3 linked regions of the Caenorhabditis elegans genome follow. The protein of the gene in region 3 interacts with the protein of the main gene of each other region in a biochemical or structural test. Each region holds a gene or a part of one and is shown on either strand. Other genes may lie near its edges.

Region 1 (7,552 bases), 7.8 Mb from region 3:
GTGATCGATCATCAGGTGTCCATTTACCAAAAGTCGAGATGCATTTGCTTGTATTTCAGCCATGGAAAGAATTCGTGGTGGTTGGATGTTATTGGTGTCACCTGAAAGTGAGGCCAAACCAAGTAAGGGAAATAAATATATATTTGCATGCAGGATGGTTGCAATTACACAACAAGTTTACTCGCTATTAACTGAAGATCGTGAAGTGATTGTTTTGATGTTTAAACATAATATACAAAAACTTTGTAAGGTGTACAAAAAATTACCGTTTGACATTTGCTGTTGAGCATAAAAAGACGGAGACATGATTTGTGGTGACTGCTGCTGCTGTTGTTGCTGCTGAAGATGGTGCTGCTGCATATGAACCATTTGATTGTTTCGCCCTATGAGCCCGTTTTGCATTTGGAAGTGTGGTGCCTGGTTTATCATTGGCTGAAAACGAGAGTTCAATTTTTAAAAAATTTTGAAAAATATTTGTTAAGTTTATAATTCCAGACGTAAAACTAGTGCATTTTTTTCAATTCGACAGAATTCTAGTGCAGTGGACAATCATCTAAGTATCTTATCCAATTAATAGGGGCTTGAACAAAGAAAAAAAAGAGATTAAAACAGGATTTTTTTGTTCTGTCGTTATGAAAAAATATCACTAGAGTATTAGTGCGTGTGGTAGACTATTAACACGTGCTGGCATACCGAATATCCGTATTGTGATGTAGGTGTTTGAGATCCTGAAGAGGGATTCATATAAGATGATTGAGCAAAATTCAATGGATGTGTCGTATGGTGAAGTTGAACAAGCGGAGATGATTGTGTTGATGAATTTGCTGACTGCTGCAACAAACAGACAGTTTAGTGAGTGTGGACAGGGAGAAGCAGATGTTAGTTTAACAATATCATATAATAATATAATCAAATATATAATTCAATCTTTGTATTAGTTTTGGTTAAAAACGGATAAGTTATAACTAGAATACTGATTTCAGTCAAATTAAGAACAAATCCTCTTAAAACTATGGAAAATAACTAACAATATTGGCTCTTTTGAAGATTTGTGTTTTTCTGAACTTACTTCTCCTATTTTGTTCAGCGCATCCCGGATAGTTTTACTTGCACCCTCGTTCATTCCCATTTGCGTTGAGGCCATTCCAGATGGAGATGAGCCAACTGGCATTTGATTCTGTTGAGACATCTGACGCATTGGAAGATTTGCACTTGCAGCTACTGGACGAGGTGGTGTATCATCGAGAGTAATAATCTCTATGTCATCGTCTTTCGTCTTCTTTTTCTGCTGTGGTGGTGTCTTTTGAGCAGCCAATTCTGCGGAAGCTGAAATAAGATTTGAATTTCAAGTGAATACTTTTAATTGATATTGCTAGAAACTGCAATATTCTCAGCTTGTCTCACACCACGCCATTTGAATAGCAAACCTGTGTGTCTGCCAGGAGAGAAGCTGTCGTTCAGAGAGTTCATTATACCTCTGTTCAATTCCTCATCATCGTCATCACTCAAGGTAATTATGTCGTCGTCAGCTGGTTTTTTCTTCGCTGCTTCATTTGCAAGTCCATTGCCATTTGTCGAAGAGCATGACGCTGTACCGTTAACAGTAGCAGGTACAACGTCATCGTCGTCATCATCTGAGATGCAAAAAGCTTCTTCCTTGATAACATCGTACGAGCCATCTTCCTTAAGTTCAACTTCCGTCGTATTCTTATCCACCTTTGCAAGCATATCGAGGAAATAACTGAAAGATGAAACAATATTTGCATAGTCTCAGAACATTGCTTTTTATTTTGATATTTGAATATTTCTTAAATAAAATGTTGAATTGGGTAACGTCTAAGCAGTTTCTCAGGCATTTCCGTGACTAAAAAGTATTTTCCAATTAAGAAAACGAGCGAATAGTGCGAACAGACAGCTTCACACAAAACTGCATGAAGTTAGCCATCGAATTTGTTGTTTGTCCATGATGCACTGTTCACAATATGAATCTGGATCATGGTAAACATAAGAGTGAGAACACTATTTGGATTATTAATTGATTGAGAATTATTTACAGGGATTTTGAATTTCTGAATAATAATAATTTTCAATTACACATTAAAACTCTTGCTCAATTATGATGATTGACCTTTGCCATTTGTTTCATGTTCTCTTACGTCATGAGCTGAATTTTGAGTTGGAGACCAATACGAACTACTGATAATAATCGTAGACTATATTTGCAAATACATGCCTATTTTAGACGACGCGTTTCCGAATTTCCTAATCACCGTTTCATCATGGCTATTTTAAGGGTGTTGTCCATCGCTATAGATAACAATTGTGTTTGGAAAAATAATAGTGTCTTCACAAGAATTGGAAATTTCGAAGTGAGGGAACGGTATCTAAGAGTTAATAGAAAAATAATGAAAACATAGAATTGAGATAATTCGCTTTTTTTTAAAATCAAAGTTAGTCAGTGTGAATTGAAAACTTACTCATCAACAATAAGTCTATCATATGGGCAGTTACTCGAGCAAACAGGGCACTGCCACGTTGGTTTCTTCTCGTTCATCATCAAATATGAGAGGAGATCAAAACATTGCAAATGGGTACAATCTTGGCATCTAGAAGGCGTTGTCATTCTTGTCTTGCACAGTGGATCAAGAAGACTGATATTAAGACGATCCATAGCAATATCATCTTCACCTCCAGACAGTTTCTTGATCACTTCTTGCTTGGTAACCTCAAGTGATCGATGTCTTGATACATTCTGATTAAGACGTTTAAAGAGAATATCCGAGTTAACACGATGAACGAAATAAACTCCAGCTGCCCATACACGTTTGTCGGCTAACCATTCGACTGCAACTGTGTGCTCTTTCTTGTATCTATTCATGTTTGAAGTGATATTCACTGGACGAGATGGTCGTTTCGGCTCAGCATTTGTCTTATTTGTTGGGATTACATTCTGAAATTTGAAGAAATAGTAACTCCTAACAATAATTGATATTTTGAAATTAAATATATTTCGTGAACGTTTCAAATCTCATACCGGCAATTGAACGACAGAATCATCAACACGTGCGTAGCAATTGAGTGGAAAGTCGTCTTTTTGAGGACCCTGAACTGGTTCAGTAAGATTGAAGAACCTGAAAACAAGGATTTAAACCGATTTCAATGATAATAAAACGTACCTCAACTGCAATTCATATCGTGGAAGAGGTGTAACATCAGCTCGATACGAAATCTTGGAGATGTGCTCAGCAGTCAATAAGAACGGGAATTGTAACTGAAATTAGTAATTAATAGGTAACCGGCTTGGAGAGCGAGTAAATTGAGACCAACCTGTTTTGTTTGCTTCAAAGTTGGACTGTCTGATGAATGCAGCTCGACAGGCTTCAGCAAAACAGAAATAACATCGTAGAATGGAAGTGGAAGCGGTTCAAAATTATCAGCATACATTTTTTTCGGCTGAAAAAAAAATACATGGGTTAGACATGTGGGAATGTAAGAAAGAGACGCTGAAAGCAATTTTCAGGTGATAACATTGAACTCGTGTGAGCGAACTGTATAACACATGCCGCGCAATTTCTAATGATGCCTGCTTTTTGGTAGTAAAAAAACACTTTTACATGCTACTACGAACTAATTGGAAATAAAACTATTTGAAAATTGAGCACGGCAATATGAAGAAATGCCTAGAGAGGATTATCATATTAAGCTTTTCTTCATGAACATGCTCCTAAGAATGCCATACTGTAATATCTTAAAACCACACTTGTTCTAGTTTTTACGCCATTCGGAATCATGCAGAAAATTTCGTGATAACAGCGTGCAAATCTTGGAGCTTCGAATTTTTCTTTCTTTTTTTTGAATGCTACACGCAATTCAAAAAAGTGCATTCAATAAACGGTAGGACATTTGTTTGCATAATGTATCACGATTGAGGAATTTTCAAATAACCGCGACTGGCCAATATGATATATGTGCCCAGAAGAAGCTACCAGTGTAATTTTTTCAGGTAAATTTTCCGTTACGGTCATAAACCGAAAGTATATCTTCACATGCTTTCCGCCTCGATATTCTTGCGTTCATTCTTATCGTGAATTTCAGGCAATAAAAATGCGGCGAAAATGTTCACCCTATTTGATTTTTCCGACTTCTGCAAACTTTGCTGAGAAGAACGTCCATGATTAGGAAAAGATGAATGGAGCGGCGCGTTGGTAGCAGCAGCAGCAGCGGGAGCGCCGTATCTCATCGAGCCCCTCAGTTGCTCTTCGAGCAGTTCAGGAGTTAGCCATCTCACCGTCGACGGATGGTGCTGCTGTTGCAGATGTGAATGATGTGACGCCATCATTTGTTGATGAAGTAGATTGTGAGGCTGTGGTTGTTGTTGTTGTTGCTGCTGATAATGATGATTGACCAAGTGATTACTAGCTCCAGATCGAGATGGCAGCACATATGGATGAGACCGAACTTGGGATGTTGTTGCAGGTCGCTTCTGCATCTGACATTTTTTAATTTAGTTATTAAAACAGAAACGATTTACAAACAATTTTTTAGGCTCTAACTTTAAATATGTGGAATATTTTAGACAATTAGAACATTTGCAAAAATACATTTGGGAATAAAAAACAAAGCGGAAGAGATTTTTTGAACGTTTGTTTCTCAATAGAGCGCACATGTCATCAGGAGAGGTGCTTGCGAAGAAATGATATATATTGATAAACCTAGCCGTTTTTTTGGAGTTTTGATAACAGGACTTTCTTAAAATTTAGTAAAATTTCAATAATAAGCCAACTAAAAATTCGATTGATTTAAATAGTTACGCGCATTCGAATCAACTGTTGTGAAATAACAACAAAAAAAAAAACGATTCCCAGTTTCTCACGAGCGACATCGTGCCAATTCGCTTCCATATCGATTTTTCAAAGTGAAACAATTATTAAAAAACTCAAATACCTCTTTAGGAGTGAAAATTTGAATTTGATTTTCAAAAAAGTGTGACAGTATTCAAAAGAATCAATCTAGTAAAATAAAAATTGTAATGAAAAACTACGCGCCAAGCTACACGTATGAAACATGGAAAGAAGGTCAGGGCAAAGTACAACTAAGAAATTTTCGAAGATCCACTGCTTTTGAGGTTTTTAACACCTTATTACGGGCGAAAGTCCCGTTGCCGGAGCTGCGAGGAAGCAAGTGCAGAATGGATGAAATATTTGAGGAAACTTAGAGAAACAAAGGGCTACATATATGGTGGGTATGAGGATGCTAGTGGAGATAAATGCGAGACTTATTGTGTGAGTAAAGAGACAATACTAGGTGAATGAATAATTTCCTCCGAGGTAGAACACTGGTAAACGTTACCCAAAGTACCTCACACATCTATTTAATCAAAGTTGACATAGTTTTTTTTTAACTGAAAGTATTTAACTTTTTCATACTTACCTCATAATTTCCGTTCGGGAAATTGGAAGCCTGTAAACTCGAGAAAATTAATGCTGTAAAACATCATTTAAAAAAAAACATAAATAAAATAACGAGAAAAACAAATGACCATTTGATAAATTTGCCGAGCATGATGAGGATCACGCAAGGATTCAACGACGACCTTCTGATGCTCCGATTTTTGTGGACGTGGCTTTCGAAGTGACAATTGCGAGATAATCGACTGAAATTCATAAATTCTTGATTCACATCGCCTTCTCGTTGAGGTATTGAACAATAAAGATTGATTAAAAACGGTATCTAACCTGAAGATCGTGTACTCTCAATTTCATGACGGCTGCCTGAAAATTTGGAATCCATCAGTTTTACTTTTTGAAAAATAACAGATTGGAACAGAAAAATCCTTGGGTAAAATACAAGAATTTTAAACTATTTAATAAATGTCAATAATTTTCCAATAACTCACGTGTGCTGCCATATTTTCCTGATGTGTTAATCCATTGTTTATAGGTATTTGCCATTGATTATTCGGTAACATATTGATTTCAATACCTCCGATCCTCCGCTGTGTCTCGAAACGACGGAAAAATATAAAACTGCAGATTCGGAAAAGGGATATTAAGGCGAATTTGAATGGTCCAGTAGTGAAAATATCACAAACAAAAAGTAGAAAAATGTGATCTTTTCTATTCCCTAAAAAGCGTTTCGAAAAGCGCGGTTCCGTGTGGATTTCCCAATTTTGGAAGTTAATGGACCAAAATCGCGCAAAAAACACGGGCACACCTGATGAATCAGTTTTGCAAAATCCTGCAAAAAATATTTCAACGTACTCACGTTAACTCATTCAGGAAATCAATGAGATCAATGTGTACGATAGGTTTGTGCCCGTGACAAAGGATCAGCAATTTTCAGAAGAGGCGCCAGAAAATTTGTGTTTTTGAATTTGCGCAATACAATTTTCAATCCACACAGACTTTTTTTGTATTATTTTCAATCCAAAAACCAAATCCAAAAAAAAAAACTTGGCGGCGCTATAAAGTGCGTCGTGATCTCCTTTCAAATCACTATATAAAAATTCACAGACTTTGTGAAAATATGAATAAATAAATAAAAAGAGAACCACAAAGGGTCGGCGTTGTTAACCGTTCCAAAGAAAATGAGAGAAAAAAATAGAACTTTAAAAAAATGTTATCGACTTTTTTTCAACCAAAAAAAACATGAGGTAAAAATAGACACTATTCGAAAAAAAAAGTAAACCGCAGAAAAAAACGAACGAAACTATCGATATCAGATCTAGAAAAAAGAAAATGGAGAAAAGGTGGAGAAACACAAAAAATGAATGAAGTGGGGCTTACTCGTACAAAATGACCATTTTTCTGCGAATTTTTTCACAGTTCTCCAACTTTCTCGTACTTTCTTTTCGCCTCGTGTTCTGTTTAGCGTCTGTACCAAAGTTGAGCTTCTCGCTTACGCTTGATCTTCTTTTGAAGTTGGAGAACTCCGTATAGAAGAGCCTGGAATAATTTTTTATATTAAAATTATTTTCTTTATTAGACGAAACATATTTTCAGAAAAGACTGCAGGCTAGGAATATTTTTAAAGCTATTCAGATAATTTCACTAATTTAAAATGTATTAGAAATTCGCTGATACAGTCAGAATGTGATAAAGTATTTCGAAGAGCTAAAGATTTAAACAAAACACCAAGTTGTTGTTGCATTAGATACGGCAAAATATTCATTAGTGAATGCTTGAGAAACTAAGCAGAAATAGAGAAATAAAGACTCAATGGTATGCAAGAGAGCGTAGACAACACAAGACTTTCGCGCCAATTCGATCAATAATTGAGTACACATGCACCCACGTATTTTCGAAATATTTACAATCGGTCGTGGAGCGCGATTACATCATGCCGTCCTTAGCCCACCATTCTTAAATTGGGAAATTTTTTTCAAAAATCTTTTTCGGAAAAACCCGAAAAAAACAGTTTTGATAATGATGGGGTGTCGAGATTATAGTGAGGTACATATTATGACGTCATAGAATTATTAAAATTCATTTTTGAACATAGCAACACGCTTTTCTTGGAATATTTTCAGACATTAACTGAAACAAATTGTTAC
Region 2 (5,751 bases), 5.9 Mb from region 3:
TTGAGGTTTCAATGAAGATTAAATACCAAAGATGGTCGAAGTGAAGCTTCGTCGAAAATTGCTTTGATATGACGAAGCAATTTTTCATCAGGCATGTCATGATAAAAACTGCCAATTTCATTTTCGACATTTGGTAAAAGCTGAAACTTTTTGCAAAATAAGTTGATTAAACACTAGCGCTCACCACAGTCTGATCTGATTCTTCCATTTTTACAAGAGGATGGCTGGAAAATATTTTAATTGTAATTTTTTCTAAATTCTTTTTTAAATATCACATTTTATGCAAAACGCGAAGAAAACAGTTGATGAAACAAAACGAATGTGCAACTATTTAGATCTAACTGTGATCTATTGCAATACTTCCCTTTAAAGGCGCATCAAATTTCTACCGTGATGGGTCTCGCCGCGCCCAATCTCGAATATCACGTTCAAATTTGGAAAGCTTTCAAAAACTGAAAACTTCGTTTAATTCAATTTGTTTTACCAGAAATAAATTAGATGCACAATTATTAAAGCTCCGAACGAGTTTATTCACATGATATCAATACAAAAGACAATAAAAGAGAGCAATAAGAGCACGAAATACAAATTCATTGTGTTGGGCTACTTTTGGTTGGCGGCAAGATCACAGGCCTCATTGAACTTGGAAACCGCCTGTCGCCATCCCGATGCTTCAAACTTTTCATTCCAGATTTCCGAGAAAGACTTGATCAGGATATTCCAGTCCGGAAGTGAATCACACGAAGGGATGTTGAGGAATCTGTTAATGACATCGTAGCAAGCATCGCGAAGAATGTTGCGCCTCTTGATGTCGACATTTAACGAATAGTCTCCAACGCTAGCTCCAGTCAACTGTGCATACTTTCCTGCAACAACGACAGCCATTGTTGCGGCGAATCCGAAGTAATCGGCTTGGTAAGTCCAAGAACGACCGTCAACCATTTCCGGGCAATCAAACGCTTCTGTTCCTGCTCTTCCCTTGAAACGCTGGTTCTTCAGTGGCATCATGTCAATGGCACGTCCCCAGTCGATAATCTTGATGACAAAGCTGTCGTTACTCATCAGAGCATCTTTGCCCCATTTATCATCGATCCTGAAAAAAGATAACGTCTAAAATTAACAAATGTTTTCCCATACTTTCTGGTGATCATAAAATTATCCGGTTTGATATCTCCATGAATAATTTTAGAGGCATGGACTTCCTTCACAACTCGGGCCATTTGGGTAATCAAGAAGCAGGTTATGTGCCAATTCGGATCCTTCATGTTATTCGCATATTCAAGCAGCGTTCCATATTCGTGGTACTGATTAACAAGAAGCGAAGCAGTTGAATAAACATAAGCATCCATCACTTCCATAATGCAACATTTGGCCATCAGCTCCAAACCTCGATCTTTCAGGCGATTCCGCATTTGGTCGCAAATGTACACTTCCCACGAACATGATGGCACCTCGTACTTCACAGCTACTGTCCTTTGATCATCGGTTACAGCCCGGTATACTTTAGCGTATCCACCTTGACCAATAAGAGTTTGAATGTGGAGCTTTTCTCCGCTAACCTCGCAGTCTCTCAGAGCTTGAATCTTCGGTGCTCGTTCTTGGAACTCGTGCATATTCTGGGGAGGACGCACAAGACACATCAATTTTTTTCGAAGAGTTTCGTCCCATGGATTGATGTCTCCTTGCTTGATAATTTCACTGCGCCGACGAATCTTGCAACCAGTGATTTCAGATTCGTTGTTTTCAGTGAGATTTGGAATTTCATCAGCACCAATTGAAAGACGTCTTCCTAGATTAGCTGTCAAACAATCGATAGATGAATCTTTAGGATCTGATCGTTCAGGCTTTGATGACTCTGTGACTGAGGGCTGAACGGCTTGATTTGCTGCTAGTGACTTTCGACGTGTCTGAAAAAGTTTGAATAGTATGTCGAAAATTTGTCTGGCACTTACTAATTTACTGAAAGTACTGCTGGTTGGAGCAACAAATACTGGAGCTTCCTGTTCGTGAGTGCTTTCCTCCTCTTTATTTCCGAAATATTCATCAATGTTGACCAAATGAACTCCTTGTGCGGGGGTCGATGTGACGAAATTACCACGAGACGGTTTGAAAAAGCCAAACTCGATTTCATCGTCATAAACTAAAAATTAAAACATAAGTTGTTATATTTTTCGATAAACCCACTATCATTAAACATTGTAGCTGGTGAGGTTTGCGTCACTGGAGAAACTAGGACAATTTCGGGTTGTACTTCAGATTCCTCAACTTTCTGAGATTCTTCCGGTTCGGCTGCCTCATCGTAAACAACATTCAACCCATTCGACACTTTTTTCGGACGCTCCTGTGTAATGGTCATTGTCGGATCAGGATCACAGAGCACGGAAAAGTCAGTAACTATCTGCGTAGTAGCTAAAGATCTTTCTGGAACGAAGACAGAATCATCGCCAAGGACCATTGTCTTTTCGCTAGCAAGATGTACAGTGTCGGAAAACATAGCATGTGCCTCCAAACACTTATTTTCCGCCATCAAATCCAATCCAGCTCCACTCTTTGATGTTCTTGCAGAAGCAGTTGAATAGTTGGAAGATATGCTTGTGGAACGGTCTGGAGGGTTACCATCTTTTCTGCCGGCAGTCATAATCTTGAGTCTTTCATCATCATCTGCATCATCGGAATCACTAACATCTTTCTCCGAAGCAGACTTTGTATCCGACGAAAGTGTCACTGTCGCTGGAGGATTCTCAATTTTGCTCCGAAGTGCAGGTCTGTGAGCATCCTTCGTTGCAACCAGCGGCGAATAAATCCGGCTTCGCTTTTCCTCCTCATCATCAACCGTTTTCTCACTGACTGGTGAAAGATGACGTCTTCTAGGATTTAGATTGGCGTTGAATCGGTTTTCAACTTCTTCGCGGGCTTGTCTGTCGGTATCAATGACTTGATGTTTCACGAAAACGACACCAGAGTCTTTTCGTTTTCGGTAATCGTCATCAACATCTTCTCCGAAAGTGTCCTTCCATTTGGCAAAACGAAACTCCTCAATCGATATTCCATGATAGTTTGGCCTGTCGATACACGCCTGGCGAAGATCCGTTTTGGCTGTAAGTTTCCAATGAGAATAATAACTTTTTTTCAAACTTACTTTTTGGTCCAAATGCAGCTTTTCCCGAGTTATTTATAGGCACATTGTGTTGCAAAAAGCAAACCGAAGAGCGACGCTTTTTCTTAGAACCCGCATTGAATCTGAAAAGATCCATAGTCTCATCCGGTCGTGTGAACATATCTCCAGATTCTCCATTGAAGTATTCATCGACCAAATCGCGAAATCCCGATTCAATTGCTGTCATTTCTATTCTTTCGGAAAGACGATCTCGTGCCAACTTCAGGACATCTTTGAATTCCTCCAGCATTTGATCTTTTCCACATTCTTCTGCCCATTGCAGATAGAACTTCAGCGAACCAGTGAAATGATCCTTTTTGAAAAGTTGTTCATAAATGCCTCTTCCCTTCAGGTTTGTACTAGATCGACCCATAACTTTGTAGAGACGGAGCATCGCTTCGTTTTCACGAATTTGATCAAACTTTTGCTCCCGCAAAATTCTCCTAACGCAGTCGTATAATTCCGCCTTCATTTCCTCCGCGGTCATCATTTGAGACAACGTTTCGATTTGCCTGAAAGTGGTGACTATTTAAAATACAAGATATACGGAAACTTACGTTGCGAACGTCTCAAGACCACATGTCGACGGATTGGTGTCGAGTGGAGCGAATGCCACTCTAATGTGGGACATAACTTTCTGAAATAATCTGAATAACAAGTTTTCAAAGTAGAAAGGACGCGAATAAAAAAATCATCGGTTCACGAAAATTACGGAGTTCATTGGAGACGTGAAATCCCTCTTTCTCCTCTAAATTTTAGGACCTTCGAAAACAAGAAATGGATATAAACGCGCGCGTCTTTTTTGAAAAGCGAGTCTTCGCGGGCCTGCTCGATAGAGCGCGTTTTTCGCTGTAGTTCAGTGACGTCACTCTCATGGCTACGTTCTTTTGAATCTGGAGAATTGCGCACTACTGAAAATTGGGCGGTGCTTTATTGCTATAACTGAAAATTGATTTTAAAGCTATTTGAAATTATAAAAAAACAATTTTTTAAAAAGTGTTTGTATGCAATTGGAATTTAATTTGAAATGTTACACTTTTAATAACACAAAAAGCCCGCCCATTTTTTCGTAGTCCGTTCGTCACTAGTTTCGAAATCGACGGATCTGCATTGAGTCTCTCATTTCTTTTTTATTATTTTTCAAACATTTTCTCCATTTTCCTGTTTTGTTTCTTTTTTTTTTAAAGCAAAATGTTTCGAAATAATTGAAGTTAGCGTGGCCCAGTAGTCTAATTTGTCACCAGATAGTTAAGAGTGTTTTTGTTCGTCCGAAAAGTTAGTTCCCGAACATCAAAATGCTAAAATTAGTCATTTTGTGCTTCGCGTTGTTCTACAATACAGTCAGTTCGACAAGATTTCTGTTTGGCGTCGAAGTTAAGTGTGATTTTGATGAAGTGTTCCAATTAACAGTGTCGCATTGGGAAGACGATGGCAATACTTTTTGGGATCGCGATGAAGACATCACTGGACGTATGACTATGTTTGCTCGAAAGAAAATATTTTTCTATCAGGACGGCCATCATGGATTTGAATTTGGAAAGCTCGAGCCTTATGGGTGGTTTCTGCACAATTGCACGAAAAATGGAAATTTTCGCGAGTATAGGCACGGGTTGAGTAGCACCAGTGGATCCAATGGGTTGGAGTATATTGAGTACACTGTGAATTTGACGAACGCCTGAGAAATATCAAATCAAATCGAACTAACTTTCAATTTCAATAAACATTCTCTCTAATTACGTTTTAAACCAGTCTTAATTTCAGATGTCTGAATTTCTGAAAATTGTCAGAGCTAACAAAAAATCGGACAGAAAACTCGATAAGACCTACTTGTGGGAATCCTATTTACATCAGTTCGAGAAAGGAAAAACTTCTTTCATTCCAGTTGAAGCATTCAATCGTAACCTTACAGTTAATTTTAACGAATGCGTGAAGGAAGGAGTTATCGTGAGTTCATATTGTTCGTAAATCGGTTTTAAAATACAATTTTTGTAGTTCGAAACAGTGGTCCATGATTATGACAAGAACTGCGATTCGATTCAAGTCAGATGGTTTGCACGAATTGAAAAAGTTTGCGGATACAGAGTTCTGGCTCAGTTTATCGGAGCTGACACGAAATTTTGGCTCAATATTTTATCGGACGATATGTTTGGTTTGGCAAAGTAAGTTGGACGCTCAGCTCTTTCTACTATTCTAAATAAATAATGGTTCTGTTACATAAAATTCTAGAGAACAATCGTATTAAAACTTCGAAACATTTGTATAATAGTAAAATTTGAACATTTCAGCGCCGCAATGAGTGATCCCAATATGGATAAAATTGTATATGCTCCGCCGCTTGCAATCAACGAAGAATACCAAAATGATATGGTAAATTATGTAAATGTAAGTTTGTTTTTTTCCGAATTTATGTTAATATCATCTCACAACTTCAGAATTGCATTGATGGCGAAATCGTCGGCCAAACTTCGCTGTCTCCAAAATTCGATGAAGGGAAGGCTCTCCTAAGCAAGCATCGTTTCAAAGTTGGACAACGTCTTGAACTATTAAATTATTCCAATTCTACTGAAATACGCGTAGCGCGAATTCAAGAAATA
Region 3 (2,745 bases):
CGCCTGCCGGACGGGAAAGTCGTGTACTCCACACGGACAAATCACATTTAGTTTTTCAACTAAAATTGAGCCGCTACGCGCCGCCAGATATGGCCGAGCCAAAATGGCCTAATTCGGCAAAAACTCTTCCATTTCAAATTATGAGGGAAGCCAGAAACCCGTGTTTTATTTTTCGGGAATTCCTGAATTCCAAAAAAAAAATTGTAGGCCGTCGATTGCTGTTGCTCAACGCCTGAAGGCATTTGGGAGATTCCGGAAGAGCCTGAGCCGTCGCCACGTGGCAAACTGGCATCGTTGGCTCCGTGAGTTGGCTTAAAATATTCCAGGATACGAAATTCCGAAAAAAGGTGATAAATTGCAGATTTACAATGGAATCCATCTCAAGTTGGAGACATTTTGCGTCTTCTTTTCTATTTTTTCTTCAAAATTTTGTGGATTATTCGTTGATGCTGGTAGCAATGACATATAATTATCCGCTATTTTTCTCGCTTTTAGCAGGTTTTATTTATTTTTTTTTTTTTTTGAATTTTTAGAAGAAAAGCTTAAAATTCGTAAATTTTAGGCCACGCCATCGGATATTTCTTCGTTGGCCCGTTGATGACGGTTAAGGAGGTCGAAAACACTGGAAATTGCTGTTCTTAATTGATTTCATAAATATGTATAAAGCATTAAATTTGAATATATTTTTAATAAAGAAAAATCGATATTCACATTAGAGCGCGCTTGCAATTTCACGATGAGACCTGACGATACCGCGCGAATTAAATCGATCGCTTTTTGGCCTAAAATGCTCATTAACAATTGTTTTTGTAGTTTTTAGCTTAAAATTATATTTTAAAATCCAGTTTGCCTTGTTACATATTGGAAAACGGTATTTTTAGAGTTTTTCCTCAAAAACCAAGCGAAAACCTTGAATTTTGTTCCGAAAACTTGTTCAAAACATTTTTTTCGTTGAAAACTCAAATAATTCACCAATTTATCTATTTTAGGCCGAAATCTCTTATTTTTTCAGTCCAAAAAGCACCAAATTTGGTCAAAAACCTGTCCAAAATCTACCGTACCCTCGTGTTGCTCGTGAAATGCGGTGCATTGTGTGCAAACACCGCGGCGTGAACATGCACACTCTGCAACGCGGGAAATCATTTCGAAAAGGTTTTTAGGCGCGTATTGCCCGATTTTTCGGCTCATTTCGTGTGTTTTCATTTATTTTTGCCTTCTTTCTCCGGTCGCGATGCGTTTAATTAAGTTTTGCTTCTAAATTTCGTCAATTTCGCTGAAAAACCACGTAGAAAACTTGATAGGAACTGGATATCCTAAAAAAAAGGATTTCCTTGAGAAAAATGGGTTTTTTTTCTGAATTTCGCAGTGATATTCTTGAAATTCTCAGCGCAGCGCTCCCCAGACAATCGATATTCCTAATTTTTCAAGCATCTTGTGGCTCAGCCAGCTGTTCTGTAATTATCGATTTTATTTGTTACAGCGTCTATATAAATACCCTAGAAAGTCATCATTCTGCACTCTTAATACCTTTCACTCGTGTGAGTTGCATTCTCCATAGCAACTCTACCTCTCTCCTTCTATCTCTTTTTCTCTTTTCAAATCTAATTTCGTTTCAGAGACTCCCGCTATAAACGATGGCCGATGATGCAGCTCAAGCAGGCGACAACGCCGAATACATCAAGATCAAGGTCGTTGGACAGGTAATTTGACTGGAAATTCGCCGCGAATTTGTTAATAATTCCCAAAAAAATTGCAGGACAGCAACGAAGTGCACTTCCGTGTAAAGTATGGAACCTCTATGGCCAAGCTGAAGAAGTCGTACGCTGACAGAACCGGTGTCGCCGTCAACAGTCTTCGGTGAGTTTTGGAAATCCGCGCCAATTCCTATCAACTTTAAATATTTGCAGTTTCCTCTTCGACGGACGTCGCATCAACGACGATGACACACCGAAGACGCTCGAGATGGAGGACGATGACGTCATCGAGGTCTACCAAGAGCAGCTGGGCGGATTCTAGTCCTCTACCTACACTCTAATCCGAAAACAAACACCCATCCATCCCTTTTCCACTGAGATACTCGGTTTCTCTGTCTCATTTAATCTATTTTCCACATTTCGAATCATATTATACAACCAAAAAAGTTTAAAATAACTTATTTATCTTACAAATAAACTCTTCGTTTTCGGAAAATCCCAAATTTTTAAAAATTAAATTTTATTTTACATGAAAAAATAACACAGTAATAGTAGTAGGAATGATGATAAATTAGAATCAGTAGACAAAAAATCACTTGGACAAGAAATCAGAGACACGAGATTCGATGACCTTCTCCGTCCATTCGCCTCCACTAGCCATGAAGTTCTCGATCTCCTCGACGGTTCGTGGAAGATCGCTCAGATTCTCGTTACCAGAAGCACGAATGATGACGTCATCCTCGATACGGACGCCGCCTGATCCGCGGTACTTGTCGATTTCGGATTTGACGAGGAATTCGCTCTTTTTCGGGTCGGCGAGCGCCTCGTTGAGCAGGAAATCAATGAAATAGCAGCCGGGTTCGATGGTGATTGCCTGGAAGATATCGATTTTTACGTGAAAATTCGGAAAAATTGAGGTTTTCTGGATTTTCCAGCTCCGCGGGGCTAATTTTTCTACTTTTCGATAAAATTTCGGCATTTTGCATGCTTTAACAGCTCAAAACTCAAAAAATTATCGATTTTTCCGAAAAATTTACTCCCGTGGGACAGT

Evidence for each region.
Region 1: of the proteins of smo-1 (region 3) and gei-17, one has a biochemical effect on the other in vitro, tested with the Caenorhabditis elegans proteins (one study listed by BioGRID).
Region 2: of the proteins of smo-1 (region 3) and bub-1, one has a biochemical effect on the other in vitro, tested with the Caenorhabditis elegans proteins (one study listed by BioGRID).

The regions. Positions count from the first base shown.
Region 1 is NC_003279.8:9,101,572-9,109,123, forward strand, and holds the start of gei-17 (E3 SUMO-protein ligase gei-17), read right to left. Parts: upstream 6,012-7,552; 5' UTR 5,969-6,011; coding exon 5,897-5,968; intron 5,772-5,896; coding exon 5,736-5,771; intron 5,654-5,735; coding exon 5,540-5,653; intron 5,461-5,539; coding exon 5,431-5,460; exon of another isoform or gene 5,417-5,430; intron 5,127-5,416; exon of another isoform or gene 5,029-5,126; intron 4,749-5,028; exon of another isoform or gene 4,536-4,748; intron 4,490-4,535; coding exon 4,124-4,489; intron 3,454-4,123; coding exon 3,328-3,453; intron 3,272-3,327; coding exon 3,177-3,271; intron 3,132-3,176; coding exon 3,035-3,131; intron 2,951-3,034; coding exon 2,478-2,950; intron 1,742-2,477; coding exon 1,428-1,741; intron 1,327-1,427; coding exon 1,070-1,326; intron 832-1,069; coding exon 694-831; intron 433-693; coding exon 267-432; intron 102-266; coding exon of another isoform or gene 1-101. Other genes in the region: nduf-7 (putative NADH dehydrogenase [ubiquinone] iron-sulfur protein 7, mitochondrial), read right to left, coding at 6,867-6,944. UniProt on the Caenorhabditis elegans protein: Functions as an E3-type smo-1 ligase. Mediates smo-1 conjugation to air-2 in vitro and is required for proper chromosome alignment.
Region 2 is NC_003279.8:7,249,984-7,255,734, reverse strand, and holds bub-1 (Mitotic checkpoint serine/threonine-protein kinase bub-1), read right to left. Parts: upstream 3,795-5,751; 5' UTR 3,789-3,794; coding exon 3,715-3,788; intron 3,670-3,714; coding exon 3,140-3,669; intron 3,097-3,139; coding exon 2,185-3,096; intron 2,141-2,184; coding exon 1,953-2,140; intron 1,908-1,952; coding exon 1,138-1,907; intron 1,094-1,137; coding exon 604-1,093; 3' UTR 512-603; downstream 1-511. Other genes in the region: ztf-15 (C2H2-type domain-containing protein), read right to left, coding at 27-140, 185-208; Protein lin-61, read left to right, coding at 4,453-4,815, 4,919-5,101, 5,150-5,316, 5,443-5,539, 5,590-5,751. UniProt on the Caenorhabditis elegans protein: Serine/threonine-protein kinase essential for spindle-assembly checkpoint signaling. Plays a key role in the recruitment of the checkpoint proteins bub-3, mdf-1 and mdf-2 to unattached kinetochores. mdf-1 recruitment is independent of bub-1 kinase activity.
Region 3 is NC_003279.8:1,339,069-1,341,813, forward strand, and holds smo-1 (Small ubiquitin-related modifier), read left to right. Parts: upstream 1-1,609; 5' UTR 1,610-1,634; coding exon 1,635-1,700; intron 1,701-1,756; coding exon 1,757-1,857; intron 1,858-1,907; coding exon 1,908-2,016; 3' UTR 2,017-2,197; downstream 2,198-2,745. Other genes in the region: K12C11.7 (Copper transport protein), read left to right, coding at 208-302, 362-498, 563-642; K12C11.1 (Xaa-Pro dipeptidase), read right to left, coding at 2,287-2,568. UniProt on the Caenorhabditis elegans protein: Ubiquitin-like protein which can be covalently attached to target lysines as a monomer. Does not seem to be involved in protein degradation and may function as an antagonist of ubiquitin in the degradation process.